Linked DNA regions of Styela clava. The protein of the gene in region 2 binds, or shares a complex with, the protein of the main gene of each other region. Links are inferred from orthologs where the notes say so. Each region holds a gene or a part of one and is shown on either strand. Other genes may lie near its edges. The genes, in order: non-structural maintenance of chromosomes element 4 homolog A-like and structural maintenance of chromosomes protein 5-like.

The links.
Region 1: structural maintenance of chromosomes protein 5-like (region 2) and non-structural maintenance of chromosomes element 4 homolog A-like share a complex: the UniProt entries of both Homo sapiens proteins name them as parts of the SMC5-SMC6 complex. The link is inferred for Styela clava from reciprocal best matches to the Homo sapiens genes SMC5 and NSMCE4A.

The regions. Positions count from the first base shown.
Region 1 is NC_135257.1:6,221,853-6,229,658, reverse strand, and holds non-structural maintenance of chromosomes element 4 homolog A-like, read right to left. Parts: upstream 3,065-7,806; 5' UTR 3,005-3,064; coding exon 2,009-3,004; 3' UTR 743-2,008; downstream 1-742. UniProt on the Homo sapiens protein: Component of the SMC5-SMC6 complex, a complex involved in DNA double-strand breaks by homologous recombination. The complex may promote sister chromatid homologous recombination by recruiting the SMC1-SMC3 cohesin complex to double-strand breaks.
Region 2 is NC_135250.1:26,787,778-26,795,998, forward strand, and holds the start of structural maintenance of chromosomes protein 5-like, read right to left. Parts: upstream 3,282-8,221; 5' UTR 3,230-3,281; coding exon 3,123-3,229; intron 2,764-3,122; coding exon 2,569-2,763; intron 2,173-2,568; coding exon 2,076-2,172; intron 2,007-2,075; coding exon 1,866-2,006; intron 1-1,865. UniProt on the Homo sapiens protein: Core component of the SMC5-SMC6 complex, a complex involved in repair of DNA double-strand breaks by homologous recombination.

The DNA.
Region 1 (7,806 bases), on a different chromosome or scaffold from region 2:
CCAGTGCACTCTTAAATCCCCGATAAATATATACTGCAAATCACTCATAAAACACATTCAAAAGGCCCCCAGTAGAGTCGCGTCTCCAGTTTTAGAAAATATCGCACACCACGTCTAAGAGCTATCGCTGTGGTAAGGATGTCACGAGAAAGCGCCAAAAACGATTTCTAAATGGTCATTCATTTGAAATATATAGCATCACGCTCCTAAATTTCCCAACGAAAAGGCTTGGCGTCCTGAATAAGCTTTACTGCTGCCCCTTAGATGCTTAGTTCCGCATGAGCTCTTGCCCAAATCTGAGAAACCACAAAAAGCATTCATTCATACGCAAGTTTCTCAATACACCAACGCTATCTCAAGTTTAGAGTCTCCATGAAAATAAAATGTCAAACACGCCTGACTATTGTTTGGTTGACATAATAAGAAATCTCGCTCTCCCATTGCCATTAGAATCCATTCAGTGTGAAACAAACAATTGCATAAGACTGTGCTGACAATACATGCAATTTTAATATGCATTATTTTATAGAGAGAGAGAGAGAGTCTCTCCCCAAGAGAGCCTGCTTTTTTAGTATTAAAAATTGGCGATTTGGGTCATCAGTCGCCCATAACAAGAATCTGTGCAATAAACGCAACGCCTAAACTCAATCGAGTCTATTCTGAAACACAACCTTATGGCTCGGCGAAACACGTAATTGTGAAGTTGAAGGCCAATAATTTACTAGCAATGCAATGCTATGGGTTTCTTCGTTTGTGTTTGTATATTTCGTCGATCATAAAAAAGGACGATGCCGGTCTGCTGACAATAAAAAGATATCATCGGTTGACAATCTTCTTTGGGACAATGTGAATAATTGAGTGCTCGGTCTACTGACTCTCATGGTACGTGATCACAAAAATGTTTTCAATGTTATAAAAACTCAACAAATGGTTACAACCTTTGCCCCAAATGGTATGAAAATACTAGAGTATCATGAAGAGTAAAAACGATAGAATTATGAGAAAAGAAAATGATTCCAAAATTTATTAATAAAAAAGTGGCCATTTCATCCCTTCGAACGCAAACTTGCAGTAAAGATATTGAAAAGATAACCCATTTCACCCCTTCAAATGCAGGATTGGAGTAAAGATACTAAAACATAACTCAAATCAGGCCAATGTATAAAAGGTGTGATATTTTGGGCATGATATAGACTTGCAGCCAAAGGTAAAAAAACTATGTCAACAATATAGGCTACATAGTGATTCATTCAGCACAACAATAGCTTCTATCCATGGCCTGCCTGTATGCCAATCGAACACGACAATCAAATGTTTATAGTTTTCATGTCAAATTGGATGATAAATTCACCTGAAATCATTGCTTTTGTATTAATTAAAAACGTCTAGGTCAAGTGTGCCCCAATTGATTCAGTTCCAGTCCACCCATTGGTTGATAGAAATACCACATGGAATTGGACAACTCATTCAGACGATAAGTGCACAATTTATCACGGTATGTTTAGAATTAAGAATTTCATATTTATCATAAGAATTATTTCATATTTTATTTGGACTCTGCATTACAAATCAATGAAAATCTCACTCTATAGTTCATCATGAAATCGGCCGATTCATAGGAAAATCAGATACACATTAACATACAAGAATCAAAAAGACAATCTTTGAAACAATATTCCAAGTATTACATTCTATCTCTGAATAGTTCATACACAAGGATAAAAGCACTTATCAAAATCTATGATAAAAATCAATCTAGATGACTTATTGATACTGATCAAATAGCATCAGATGATCAGATACCAAATTACCTTGGTCCTACTGTATGTGGCAAACTACTACAGTCCAGGATCACCCAACTCATGCTATGTAACACACTTAGAAGATGATGAAACATAGTTGAACACAAGGGTTGCGATTTTAAGCTCACAACTGCCTTTAAATTTCAAATGTGATATCACATCATTTTTCAGCTCATACTCAGTCATAAGTTTTAGCACTGAGGTACTCAGCTTCTAACTCTTTTTGATGATGGACCATTAGCTCTCTCAGGGCTTTTAGGCTCTGAAGGTTCTATGAATGGAGCTCTTCCTCCTAGTTCATAAATATCAATAATTTCCCTCCACTCATCCATTGACATTGATACCATGACTTGATTACATTTTTTTTCGGTTTGAGTATTATCTTCCTCATTTTGGTTGACTGGCTCAACAACTGGTATTTGATTTTCATTTAAAAACACACGAACAAAGCCATCTTTGACGAGAAATGCCATGTGAAACATGTTTTCAATAGTATGACCAAAAGAATCCGGATTTACAACAAGTTCAAAATAGTCTATTGGGACTGGATCTTGTTCATACATTTGTTGAATCACTCCAAGCACTCTTTCAATTTCTTCTGGTGTGGCTTCTTTTCGATCCCCCTCGAAATGTGTAAGGTGCTGCGGCTGTGTTTTAGTCCCTGTATCGTTATCTATGGGGTCAGACTGTGTGTGTCGCCTTCTTAGTGCACTGTGCTCAAATGTACCAGACATAACATTCAATACAGGGTTCACGCTAGAAAAAAATTTAGAGGAATATTGTCCGAAATTTTCCCATCCTTCTGAAGTGATATGAACTTCATCTTCTTCTTCACCAATATAACGCCCATCCATTCTGGTCACTAATTTTTCCATGAATTCCTCAGGTTGAAATGCCACAAGATCTGTTTGAAGTTGATTTGTTGTTTGCCCCGCAATAGACACTGATAATGCCATAAACCGTGAATCTAAAGCTCCCTCCCTCGTTGATTTCACCCTTTGAAATAGAGAGTTTGCTTTTTTGACACGATCCAATAAATCTCCACTTTCTGGTTTTACAAATTCTTCCTTTTTGTCTTGGACTTCACTGATCAGTTTTCTGTATTCTTGTCGAATCTTCAACCTTTCTGCACGTTGGATAGGTGTCATAAATTTGCTTGATAGAGATGAAATCTCCATCTCTTCATCTCCGTTTTCTGCCATGTCTATTTTGATGAGATATACACTGTATTCTAGGACTATAACCTAAAACAACATTGAATTGATATAGTCAAATAGGCACCAATCCTTATAGTAAAAATAATGTGATTATCTTACTACTATTGGCATATCAATTATATCAAACTTTCCAAATCAGACAATAACCAAATTCTCCAACTTAAAACAAAGAATAAGCAAGTCCAAGAACAAGAAGTATAAAATAATTTATTAATGCAAATATTATTATGTATTATATATGTATATTGATTTTTATAAAACTCATAGAATGATACATTAATTGAAAACACATGTACCAACTCAAAATGTCAGTTTTCCTACCAAAACTTCTGTTTTACATAGACCTAATTATTGTGATATTTATTTTATTTCAAAAAACATGTTTGTAAAATTCTTTCAAAAATGAACAAAACTAAAATATTATAAATTTTGCACAAAATCCCTGGATTTATAAGCAGTATTTTGCCAAGAAAATTCGTGCATTACACGTCAACTAGCACAGTTTTCACAAAATTTGAATGTATGAATGATACAGTAATAGATAGCATACAAGGAATTTTAAGCCTTCTCAACCCCCTGCGAACCCAGTTTCCTCAATACGCATTTTTATAATTGATGAAAAATTCTATCGCAAACAAGAATACATGCGGTACCGGTATATCATTATACTGTTACGGTATACTGGTATATGACTACTGGGCTATGACCAGAAGACAGAAAAAGTCTGAGTCTTACGGTTGAATTTATGCTTAAACTAATTTGGCTACAAAGTTAAGTAAAACATGTATCTTTGTATAGTTTCAAGATGCAATTAGCAGATTAGTAGTTGGGAATGATACGGTAATTCAAGTAAGTGGAGGTTTTTTTCGTCATGAGCGATGAGTTCATAAGTTGACAAATGACTGCATGAATTTGCAAATGCAATCAGCTCATACCCTAGAATTAAAAAACGGAAATTGAGGAGCTAACAAACAGAGGAGGGTTTAAAATTTTATAGGGGTGTTCACGCAGTATAATACTGTGATACCGGTACCGGTACCTGACGACGTCTGATCTATGTCTCGAGCATTGGGCTAAATATCGATCTCCCGCTTTTAAATTATACCGGTACCGTACCTATCTGTATATAATGTAAATCAGTACTTGTAATAGGCTTGCCTCTGCTAATGGTAGCTGAATACATGAATGAGATGTGTGCGGAACAGACTCAATACAAGGGGTGGTGGAGGCTAACTCGCCATGCGACGGCGGTTAACGGGTACGGTACCGGTATGCCTGCAACTGCACGAAGGGTCTTCTTGTAATGGGAGATGGAAAGGTGGCTGTTTTACTTACAACTTCAATCGTGAGGGCAAATATAATAAATTGAATGTGTTTGGTTAGAATACTGTGCAAGGGATAACAAAGTGACAAGAAAACGTACGGTACTCGACACGCAAAGGAGGGTCTCCCTAAAACCAGGCACTTGCGAATTCAGGCACTTTTTCAGGCACCATTTCAGGCACTTTGATATTTTTTTTTACCGTACGTCATTGGGGTTTCCAATTGACCTGACAAGATAATTGAACTTTAAATAATTTTTTGCATCCCTATATTGCAATAAAACAATATTATTTCCACTTTATTAGGGTATAAATAATTTTTCAATAGTAAAATGTGGCAACATTGATTACAAAATATAGAAATCAGGCACTTGTGAAATTTCAGGCACTTGGTCAAAACCTATTTTACAATGTATCTGATTACTCTAAAGCAGAACATTAAATATATACACTTTGTATGGTTGAATTTACAACATTTTGGTAAAATACAATACCGTTTGTGACTGATGGAGACATGTCATATTTCGCAAGTGCCTGATTTTTCATTTTTCTCGGTGACAGTTGCCATATTTTTTCGCAATTATTTTCTTAAATTGTTTGCGTCAGCACTTATTATTCTTTGCTTTCTAACGCGAATTCATTGTTCCACAACAATTTGAGCGTTTTTAATATTGCAATGAGCAATACCATTTGACAACATATGGTCAATCATCGTACTTTCTGGATTTATTTGAAATTGAATATGAATAATAAAATCTGGCAACCTCAAGCACAAAATACTAAAACCAGGCACTTGTGAAATTTCAGGCACTTCGTAAAAACCTATTTCTCGATGTTTTTATACACTTTGAAGCAGAAAACTAAAATATAAACTCTTTTTTATGATTGAAATGACGTCTTTTTGGTAAAAAAACAAACACGATTGGGACTGGTGATGAGGGGTCAAATTTCGCAAGTGCCTGATTTTTCATTTTTTTCGATAACAGTTGCCATATATTTTCGCAAAAATTTTATTTGCGTCAGCACTTACTATACTTTGCTTTCTAACGCAAATTCATTGTTCCACAACAGTTTGAGCGTTTTTAATATTGCAATGAGCAATACCATTTGACAACATATGGTCAACCATCATACTTTCTGGATTTATTTGAATTTGAATATGAATAATAAAATCTGGCAACCTCAAGCACGAAATACTAAAACCAGGCACTTGTGAAATTTCAGGCACTTCGTAAAAACCTATTTCTAGATGTTTTTGTACACTTTGAAGCAGAAAACTAAAATATACACTCTTTTTTAGGATTGAAATGACGTCATTTTGGTAAAAAACAAAACGATTGGGACTGGTGATGAGGGGTCAAATTTCGCAAGTGCCTGATTTTTCATTTTTTTCGATAACAGTTGCCATATATTTTCGCAACAATTTTTCTAAATTATTTGAGTCAGAACTTACTAATCATTGCTTTTTAAAATAAATTCCTAGTTCTACAACAATTTCAGCGTTTTTACAATGAGCAATATTATTTGACAACATATAGATAACCATCGTACTTTTTAGATTTATTTGAAATTGAATAGGAATGATAAAATCTGGCAACTCCAATCACAAAATACTAAAACCAGGCACTTGTGAAATTTCAGGCACTTTGTAAAAACCTATTTCTCGATGTTTATACTTACTTTGAAGCAGAAAACTAAAATATACACTCTTTTGTATGATTGAAATGCCGTCTTTTTTGGTAAAAAGGAAAAACGATTGGGACTTGTGATGAGGGGTCAAATTTCGCAAGTGCCTGATTTTTCATTTTTTTCGATTACAGTTGCCATATATTTTTGCAATACTTTTCATAAAATCATTTTCGTCAGAACTTAGTACTTACTATACTTTGCTTTCTCGTTGAAATGTTTTTTAAGACAATCCGATGTATATTGAGTGCTATTCTTATCGCTAGTTTCAATTCGACGTCTGCCCGAGGGTGGTGCAAGTATTTATATTTGAAGTGAGTACATACCTCTTCAAAACGCCCATATGGAAGATTGAACAAGGCGGAGTCAACAAAAATTCAATCACATTTGGAACGTTGTCGCACTGCATCGTCGCCACTCATATACTCTGACATTCCGATGCATGAATTTTGCTTTCTGGAAAATAATAATTGGAGTGTCTGTTAAAGTGCGAAATGTATACGGGAGCACGTACAATACCAATGCTGCGTTTGCAAGCGTTGTTATCATGATACATGTGAGAAAGTATCGAAAGCGAAATTGTGGAAGTGTAAAATTTGTATTCGGTAAGTCGGTGTTGCCAATGTGGGTATTTTCAGGGCGCTCCCGTAGTAGCCTATGTGCTCCAAGATGGCGCACAACCTAATACCTCTATCTTGGTACACATACTATGTTCGGGTTGTGTGCCAACTTTGTGCACATACTACGGGAGCACCATTTTCTGCACAACCTATTCTGATGCTCATTCGCGACATGAAGACACTATACGCCCGACATATAAAAGTAGCAAAATATACACAAAATCTTTTCATGTTTAATTTCAGAACTGACATTTAAAATTTTCAATTCTTAGATCTGTGGTTTTACCTAATTGCAAGATACGTAAATCATATCATGTCAAAATAGAACAAATAGTAAGGATTTTCATTGGATACTCAATATTTCTAATAATTTTAAAATTGAAAGCTTCGATTAGTGTTCACTCATACACTTCCATTGTGAAGTTGTGTTTTTAATGTTTTATCTCCTTAATAAATTTAAATTCAAATTTATATCCCCGATTACTGATGGAGAAAGATCTATAATCGAGAGTTTAATACGGCTTCTGTGACATTAAAAACAATTACTGTTTTACGTTTTTATATATTTGTAACTTTTTGAATAACGCAAAAAAATTCGTTGACTGACTACTGGCGTGTTGAATATTAAAGGATTTTTATTGTAACATTCGTTTAACGATGCTTTTAAGCCTAACTTTGGGCATATCAGCTACCTGATGTCATTTGCCGAGCGAATTTTGTTTAGGTGACATTGCCATCTCGTATTTACCATCCTGTAGCCATTCTTCTTATTTAGGAACTACGTGTTTTACAGTTAGCTGTTACAGCATGAAATAATGTACAAATAATTCTACGTAAACTATCCATGAAATCCATTCCATAAACTATCCATGAAAAGATATTACAGTCAGATCTTCAGGTTGTAAAGAATATTATACAACAGCAACAGCAAGTGATTGAATATCTATATTGTAGCCGTGGTTGAACACCGCTGGTTGTCAATATAGATTTTGCACAGGCTTTTATAAATTTTGTGAACGGTAAATTATGTTCTATTAGGGGATAATGTGACTTGGATACGTATTATAAAAGATTCTATACGACATAAGTCAATTGTTTCTGTTATGTAGTTTATATGAAGTCATAGGCCAAATTACATTATTAAAATCGTCGTCCGATA
Region 2 (8,221 bases):
TCAGGGACTAAAGATGAAAAATTCTGTGCCATAATAAACTCACTCAGACAGTAAACAGAAATAATACAGAAGGCCTATTACACATTGGATGCATGCATGACAATGTTTACTTTTGTGTACTTTTAGCTTGGTATTTGGTAAAGTTAATGATTAACTAGAATTTGAGGTTTGTATTTTTCACTCTTCGAGAGTTCTTTGTGTGCAAAGTGAGGGATAAATTCACTACTAACACTGAAGCCTATTTCGAAATAACTGGAATACCAACTTAAATACAGTATAAATTAAATGTTATAACAGCAAACAAATTGTATTGTTTCAAAAGGAGAATACACAACTGACATTAATATATATTTCTATAGTATTTAACCTGCGATAACTAATCATCGACTTTTGAAATTAAGATTGTTTTAAAAGAAGTATAAATTAAAGATAAACAAAATCTACAATTAATTTTTGTTGTTACATAAAACTCGAATGGACCGTAAATGTTACCAGTGGCATATCTGAAGAATGACAGCCATGGATTGTGTGCCGAAAAGGCCTTAATCGCAAAATGTTTCAATAGAATAATTTCAAACTGGGAATTTATCTCTACCGAATAGGTTGTTCCAGAACTTTTATATTATCTAGGTTGCCCAATCATCCGAATGTTTAGATTAGGATCATTTTAATAAAGACCTTTGTTAATTGACTTTGAAATCGTACCTAATAAAGCTGTATAAGGATATTCAATACAAAAACTTGTTATTGCACAAGGATGCCAATTACGTCTATGAATTGTTTATTAAATATGACAATGTTGGAAACAAAACCTACTTTTCCCAACTACTAGAAGACCCATAACTTTAAATCAAAATAGTTTGAATTTTTTCAGTCACACTAAAGTACTTTTGTTGAACAAAACGAACAGAAAACTGTGTGAACTTTTTTCAATAAAAGATTCCTTATACAAGAGTCATAAGCCTAAAAACTGATTCTTATATTTCGAAAGTTTTATTATTAATGAGGAGTTGAAAAAAATATCAATATGCCATTCAGATCTTATGGAATTGAAAACAAACACAATGAATGCCTGTTCCAGTATACAAACATGGTACAGAAAAGGATTCCAACTCTATTCAATCTAGTAACTCGATATACACAAGTTTAATTTTTACAATGGAAGGACTCGGTTGCATCATGAGACGTTGGTTAGGCCAGTGTGCGTTTCCACATCAGTCTCGAAGGACTGAATAAAACCAAGATAGTACTTATTCAACAGCGATGATTTATTTTTTTTCTGATGTTTAATGTCTTTCCCTCTGAACAAGGATCTGTGTAAGCTACTACTATATCATGGAAGGACCAGAATCTGGCGTTCCAGAAGTGTATGTACCAATTTGGAACATCAAGTTGTGTAAAGGGACTGAAACCTATGGCAGGGTATATTCACTTGGCTAACACAGACAGTCCTCGAGCTCGTAATAAAACTAAAATAAGGAAAATCGGAATAAAATTATGGCCTAACCCTAACCTGGTATACACACTAATAGAGTAGGCTACCTTATTTATTACATCCTGGTTAAGATAGTGGCCATGAGTGAGTTTTTGATTTACCGAACTTAAACCTGCAATGCTAACATTGTGAATCCACAGAATCTTTTAATCAATAGGTCACCGTTTGAAAAACTCTTTAAATTGGTATCAAATATAACATTAAAATTCTATTACAGATTTCACTTGAATTTTCAGTGCTCTGCTGTAATGTTGTTCAAGATGAGTGTCCTTTACTTTTACGTTAGTGTGTAATCTTGCTTAAAGCAAAAGATAGAATACCGAAAAATACAATTTTTCAAGAAACTATGCCAAATAAATGAATTACTTACCGCCAGTTCAGTATTCTCCAGAAGCTCAATTTTATTCATTTTCGCAAAATCAGCAACTTTTTCTTGCGGAAGAAACTGACATAGATTGGAAAGTTGAATGTTCAAGCCGCTTACAGTCTCTTCAATAATTTTCGCTGATACCTGATTGAATATCAAAGTTAGATTTTATTTTATTTACCATAAATGGTAGAATACTCTGAGTATACTTACCAATACTCCGTCCCTGTACCATGAAGTTGTTGATTTATTTGAATTTGTGTGCTTTACTATTTCACGACAGATTAGGATGTTTTTAGGTTCATCATATCTGTTAAATGTTAAAAACAGAGGGATTACAGGAAAAGATGAATTACCTAGCAGGGGGGAGCACAAAATATTGTACTGCAGAATATAAATTCTTCCAAGGGTAGGATACCCTATGTAGTAGCAATGATTTTAAACCCCATACAAAAATACCGTAAACAGCATGCTATAGACTCTGATTTAAAACAATTATGTAGATAATAATTTTCGATTAAATTAAATTTAAATATTCAGTTTTTTTTTATGTAAATTAAATTTGGTACTGTTCCAGTATGATGCCGCAAAAAAAAAATTGCTCAAAATTTTCAGTCTCGTTTGCTCAAGTATTCACTCTTCCCGCTTCTTACGCTTCATCGATATCCAGGTCAAATTAATGGAAAAGTAACGATTCTTCACTTACAGTTCAATTTCGATGATTGCTTTGGTTTGTCCATATTTAATATATTCTCCGACATCTTTGGCTCTAGCGAGGTAGTTTGTCTTTCCACCCAATCCTAGACATATTGCACAAACAATGCTGGATTTACCGGTGCCATTTGGACCAATAATGACATTCAACTTTGGATTCAACGAGAACTGGAAGCTGTCATATGTTCTGAAATAGATATGGAATTAAAAAATAAATTCAAATAATAAAATCAATGCAAGACAAGGGCTGTAGCTGTCTCCGACTCAGGACTAAGCTCCAGAATTCCAGCTCCGAAATCTGAGAAAATCAATCAAAAAATTCAGAATTTTTACTTCCACCCAGGAAGTTTAAAAATATGATACTGGCTCAAGTAAAAACAAATTCAAATTCCACACTCCTGGTTCTTTTTTCATTTCTACACGATTCCTATTAATTTCACAGTCTGTTCTCAGTCAGATTTTAGTAGCAACTTTATTATTTCATACTCAAAACACGTTTATTAATTAAAGTTTTTCTACGCAAAGATACAAAAATTTTGATCGTACAAAAAATCTTTCGCAGCAATTCTGACGATTGATCCATGAGTAAATTTTTTCTTCGACTTCCTGTTACTCTGTCCAGAACCAACGACGTACGACTCATCATCTTCCATGACTGCTTTTAGCCTAATGGTAAACCAAATTCTGTTTACAAAGAGAATGATGGACATAAACACAATATTAGACAACTGGTAATGGGTCCTGATGAAATTTACGGTAACTGTTTAATGATACTCAAGCTTTTCTGTTGAATCTCTTCATGTGGATATTTTGGAATTCTTTTTTCCTCCCTCCTAAGCATAAAACTACTTTATTTGTTCAATCATCAATGGATCCTTTGCTAGTACGCAACTCACACACAACTGTGTTTCTGCACAGTTTATTATGTGTTCGTGAACAAGTACTATTTATCGTACTAAAAAAAAAAAATTAGTAATACCACAGTGAATACAAAGCAAAAGTACTCCCCAAAAATGGCAAAAATCCTTCCTGGAAAAGAATTCCTCCCCTTTTGAAAACGTTTCATAACAGGAGTGTGCCTTGTCAAGATTTTTTCATATCAAGCCCAAAAATCTAATCCGACAATTTATGTTACAACTTTTGTTAAAGCTGATGTTAACAAATTATGCAAGAACTCAAAATTTCAAAGTGCTACTCAATCAAAATTTTCTATTGTGGAAATTTTTTGGTTCGATGTGTACATGGTTACCTAAATTGTTTGTGTGGCCCAGCTAGATGAAGTTGGTTTTATGGCCCACCGATAAAAAATGTTGCACGCATCTAGTTTAGACCGAGACTATAAAATTGGGGAACATTTTTAAGAGCTCGACTCTAGGTTGAAAAAATGAAAATTTCGACTGCTCTTGAGAAAATCAAATTTTAATAACAAAATATTTGGCAAATGCAAATACTCTTTAATTATCTGTTCATTTTCTGATCCATTTTCATTTTAAGTTAGGATGAACACAAAAAGGCAATAATCGAACTTATCCAAACCTAACATGAACAGAATCAAAGAGAAGAAATCGGAAAATTAATGGTGACGTAACAATACAGCAATACTGCAATAGGATAGTGCCTCATGAATGAATAACATAAACATATCCTATATGAAAATGAATGGAAAATAGAAGCATCAACGCAGGAAATGTGAATCATAGAACATAATAACAGTCAGATTGAAAATTCCTTATTCAGTAATTCAAAAATTTTATAAAATCATCATAGGTGTCAGCTCTAACTCAATATATTGGTACTCAAAGAGATTTACTCAAGTAATACATGGAACCCAGCAAAACATACAAAAGTAGCCCAACTAGTACACTACTGGTGTTAAATATTCCCCACAAACCAAAGAATCACATAATCCATTAATTCCACACGAATTTTATCATTTCAGCATTTTGATCACTCCCAGATAGAAAGGTAAGACTAAATTAAATTTTAAAATCACCAAAGTTTCATCAATTTTAATTAAAAAACATATATTATTAAATTAAAAACCCCAGTAACGGTGCTGAAGTACGGCACTCAGACACAGAACCGAACTTTGGGTGAGAGAACACGTACTGCTTCTTTTATCAATACCTTTCCATCTAAAATCTGTACGTTTCAAACCTTACTCTAGGTTTTGTTCGCTTTCCCGATTCTATAATCAGTTACTTTTATCTATTTCTTATCGTCTATTGCTGATTATGGAGTCGAAATAAACTTATACTTATACAGAACCTGAAAACGGTGAATAGACAAACTGCCGAGCGTGGGCAAAATAAGCGTGCACTAACAACTGGACGAATGCATGTGTAAAACCACTTTCAAGCCGCAAAACCTACCAACAAATAACTAGACATATTTACAGTTAGCAAAATAATTAACACTTAAACTACAACAAGAAACAAGATATCTATATCACTAAATAAACCTCCTCCGGAAAGACTTCCGCGGAAAAATCCCGAAGCTGAACTGTCAAAACGAGGTGAAGAAAACAAACCAACTCCCGCAGGACGACGTCACGGTTGACAGTTTTGCGCCCTTTGCGGTTTGTTTGTTTCTTTATTTTTTTCAATCATTCGTCTACAACTACTGATGTGCAAAATCAAATCAAAATTCCAACCACCAACGGTAATAAAGAGCAACAAGTTTTCGGTACTTTCCCAGTGCTTTTTGAGTTATACATAGCAATGCTAAAAAGCGTGAATATACGTGTGTGAAGCGAGTTGTAATGTACAATACATGTTGAAAAAATATTGGATTATCTGTTGCGAGGTTTGTATGAGAGTTATACGTTATAGGTATGTAAGCTTAGCCATGAGAATTCCACTGTTTAAGCAACAGACAGGCTGTGGCTGTGCGAATTAGAAATTCCTGCTTTAATTTTGAAGCGCAAGTATTTAGAGTTTCTGTAGTGTAAATGTTAATTTAAAAATTATACAAATTTTGCACCTAGAATCTAGAAGTAAAATACCCGGTTTAAGAGGTGTGATACAGTCTAACGAATTTTTCATAAAACCAGAAAGAAGTGTGGAAACGCACATTTGATTGCTACAATAAAAAAAATTCTAATTGGTTCAATCGTGGTACATAACAGTGTACAATCAAGAGACATATTGATTAGATTGTAGTAACACGTATTTGAGCTCTGTTATCACAAGTGAGATTGCCACACTGGCATGGGGTTCTGCCGACTCCACACAAATTTCTAGTCACGACACGAATAACACACAATAGTAATCGAATCTTTATTTGATTAAAAACTTTGCTGCCTGAAAATCTAATGTATTCCACAAATTTGAATATGTGACTGACTCTTTGTTATTATTTTATTATCCTGGGATCGCCTGCTGAGTCATTATTTCGACTGATATATTTTCCACAGGAGTAGACGTCACTATCCTTTGCTGACTCCAAGCATCTCGTTTCCTCTTCTTCATATGACTGCTCTAAAAGTTGAACAGGTATTTGTTGCTCTATATTTATTGGATCAATCTACGCCTTTCTGCTGAATGATAAGGTTTTCTACTTCTGTCATCAGAATGTTGAATATATAGCGTGGCTTTGCATCTGGCAAAATCAGAATTTTACAGTGCTGTCGATCATATTTAATCGTTAAAACATGTCGCTACAGATATAGCGTAATGTGAATAAGCTTAGTTACTCACGTTTGAAACTGATCTGAACTAGAAAATTATAATTGAAGCAGAAATCTAAAAAATAAGCAGCATAATAACGCAGGGAATCGAAGAACACACTTTATTTGCTCAAAGCAAGGTTAAGGTTTCTATCGACTAAAAGTGGGAAGGAATACTTTTCGGTAAGAGTGCTGGCTTCCGCGATTAAAGTTTTATAAATATCTATAGCAGGGGTGGGCAAGGTAGTTTTCCCCACCGATACCGGCGGGCCATGTAGGTGGAAAGTTACACGTGAACACACACAACAAGTGCACGAGGCGAAAGAAAGAGGTGTGAAATGCACGCTGTCGAATCGAGTGGGCGAGAAAACGTAAAGTTTTGTTAACGTCCTATATAATGAATGTCTGTGGCAACCTAAAATACAACTTACACAGATTACGATCATAATCTAACAAGCCTATTGCAGTGCTAGATTTGAGAGTGCGCGGTATACGCGTGTAATATATATATATATATACATGGATCAAATTAAAAAATAAACTAATTTGTAATAAGAAGGTAATGCAGCGCGTTATGCAGAGTGCGCGTCATATTCGAATAAATACGGTGAGCAATAACTGCTAAGCGAGGCCAAAATTGTCTGCCGGGGATATTTTGGGACAGTGTATTTCAAAGCCTCCATATGTTTTCACTTCTGAATGGTATGAAAATCGAAAGGAGGAAATAAGCTTAGAATATAGTTATCTGTTTAAAATTTTCAAAATTCAATAAAAACAACGATTTTAGTAGACAATACAATCAATTCAAACTTCCAGACGATAGGAGAGTGACATGCGCGGTCAAAAGTAATGATAGAGCTTGTCTCAAAGTTTGAAACCCTGAACAACGCGTAACGCCAATGAATTATGTATTTTTAGTATTCAATGTAACAAATTTTATATATATATATATTTTATTTTTGAAGCAAATTTTATATATATATTTTTTTGTTTATACGGATTAGGCCGACAAGTCTGGAATCCAGCCCAAAAGCCTTCATGCCCAGACTATGCCGACGGAAGTTCTATAGCTCATTTTCTTTTCGAAAAAAGAAGAAATCGCTGGTGTTGTAACCTAAGTTCTGTCTAAGTTCTGGCAGCTTCTGGATCCAACTCCAGCGGTTCTGGCTTGAATAGTCTATCCATGTTTAAGTTAATTAAATTGTTGTAACCTAAGTTCTGTTTATTACTTCACAAACAAATCCATCCACAAATACTAGGCTTTAATTAACTTAAACGTTAGCAGCACCTTAAAGCAGTTCACAATGAAATGATAAAGCACCAACAAAACATGACTCAGATAAAAGCAAGTCGAGTATGACTCGTCAGACAAATTACTGTTGCCAGTAAACAGATAAGTTGAGAATACCAAAATATGCAATAATACAATATAAATTACCACAGCTGGTTCCACATTATTGTGGTTAACTTCCTTTCATCACTTCTATGATTTACGAAATAGAAGACTTACCTAGATCTTATGATACGTCTATGAGCACTATTCTCAATACGTGCGTTTATGCTAGCCAGAGAAATTCGTCCAGTCTGAAAACAAAGGTGCTGGTGACATTTTTTTCGAAACTAGCACCCCCCCCCTTCCTTCAAAAAATAAGGAAAGGTATAACAATGTTTCTGGCATACTCTGGCATAATTATCTTACGGAAAATTGAAAAGCGATTCGTCGGCCAGAACTATCTTTTTGTCTGAACTACAACACAAGGAACGCCATTGTTAAACAAAATGATTCATTGGTCCAACAATTAGCTGAAAATCATACAGTGTACAAATTTACTCCTGTCGTGAGCACGTCATAATAATTTTGAATAATATTGTGAAGTTCGAAAATACAATTCGGAAATTATGGCCATTTAATAAACAGAACTCAAAATTGCCTATCTCATGAAAGATTTTTTGGACCGGTGCAGCAATCTTCAAAGTG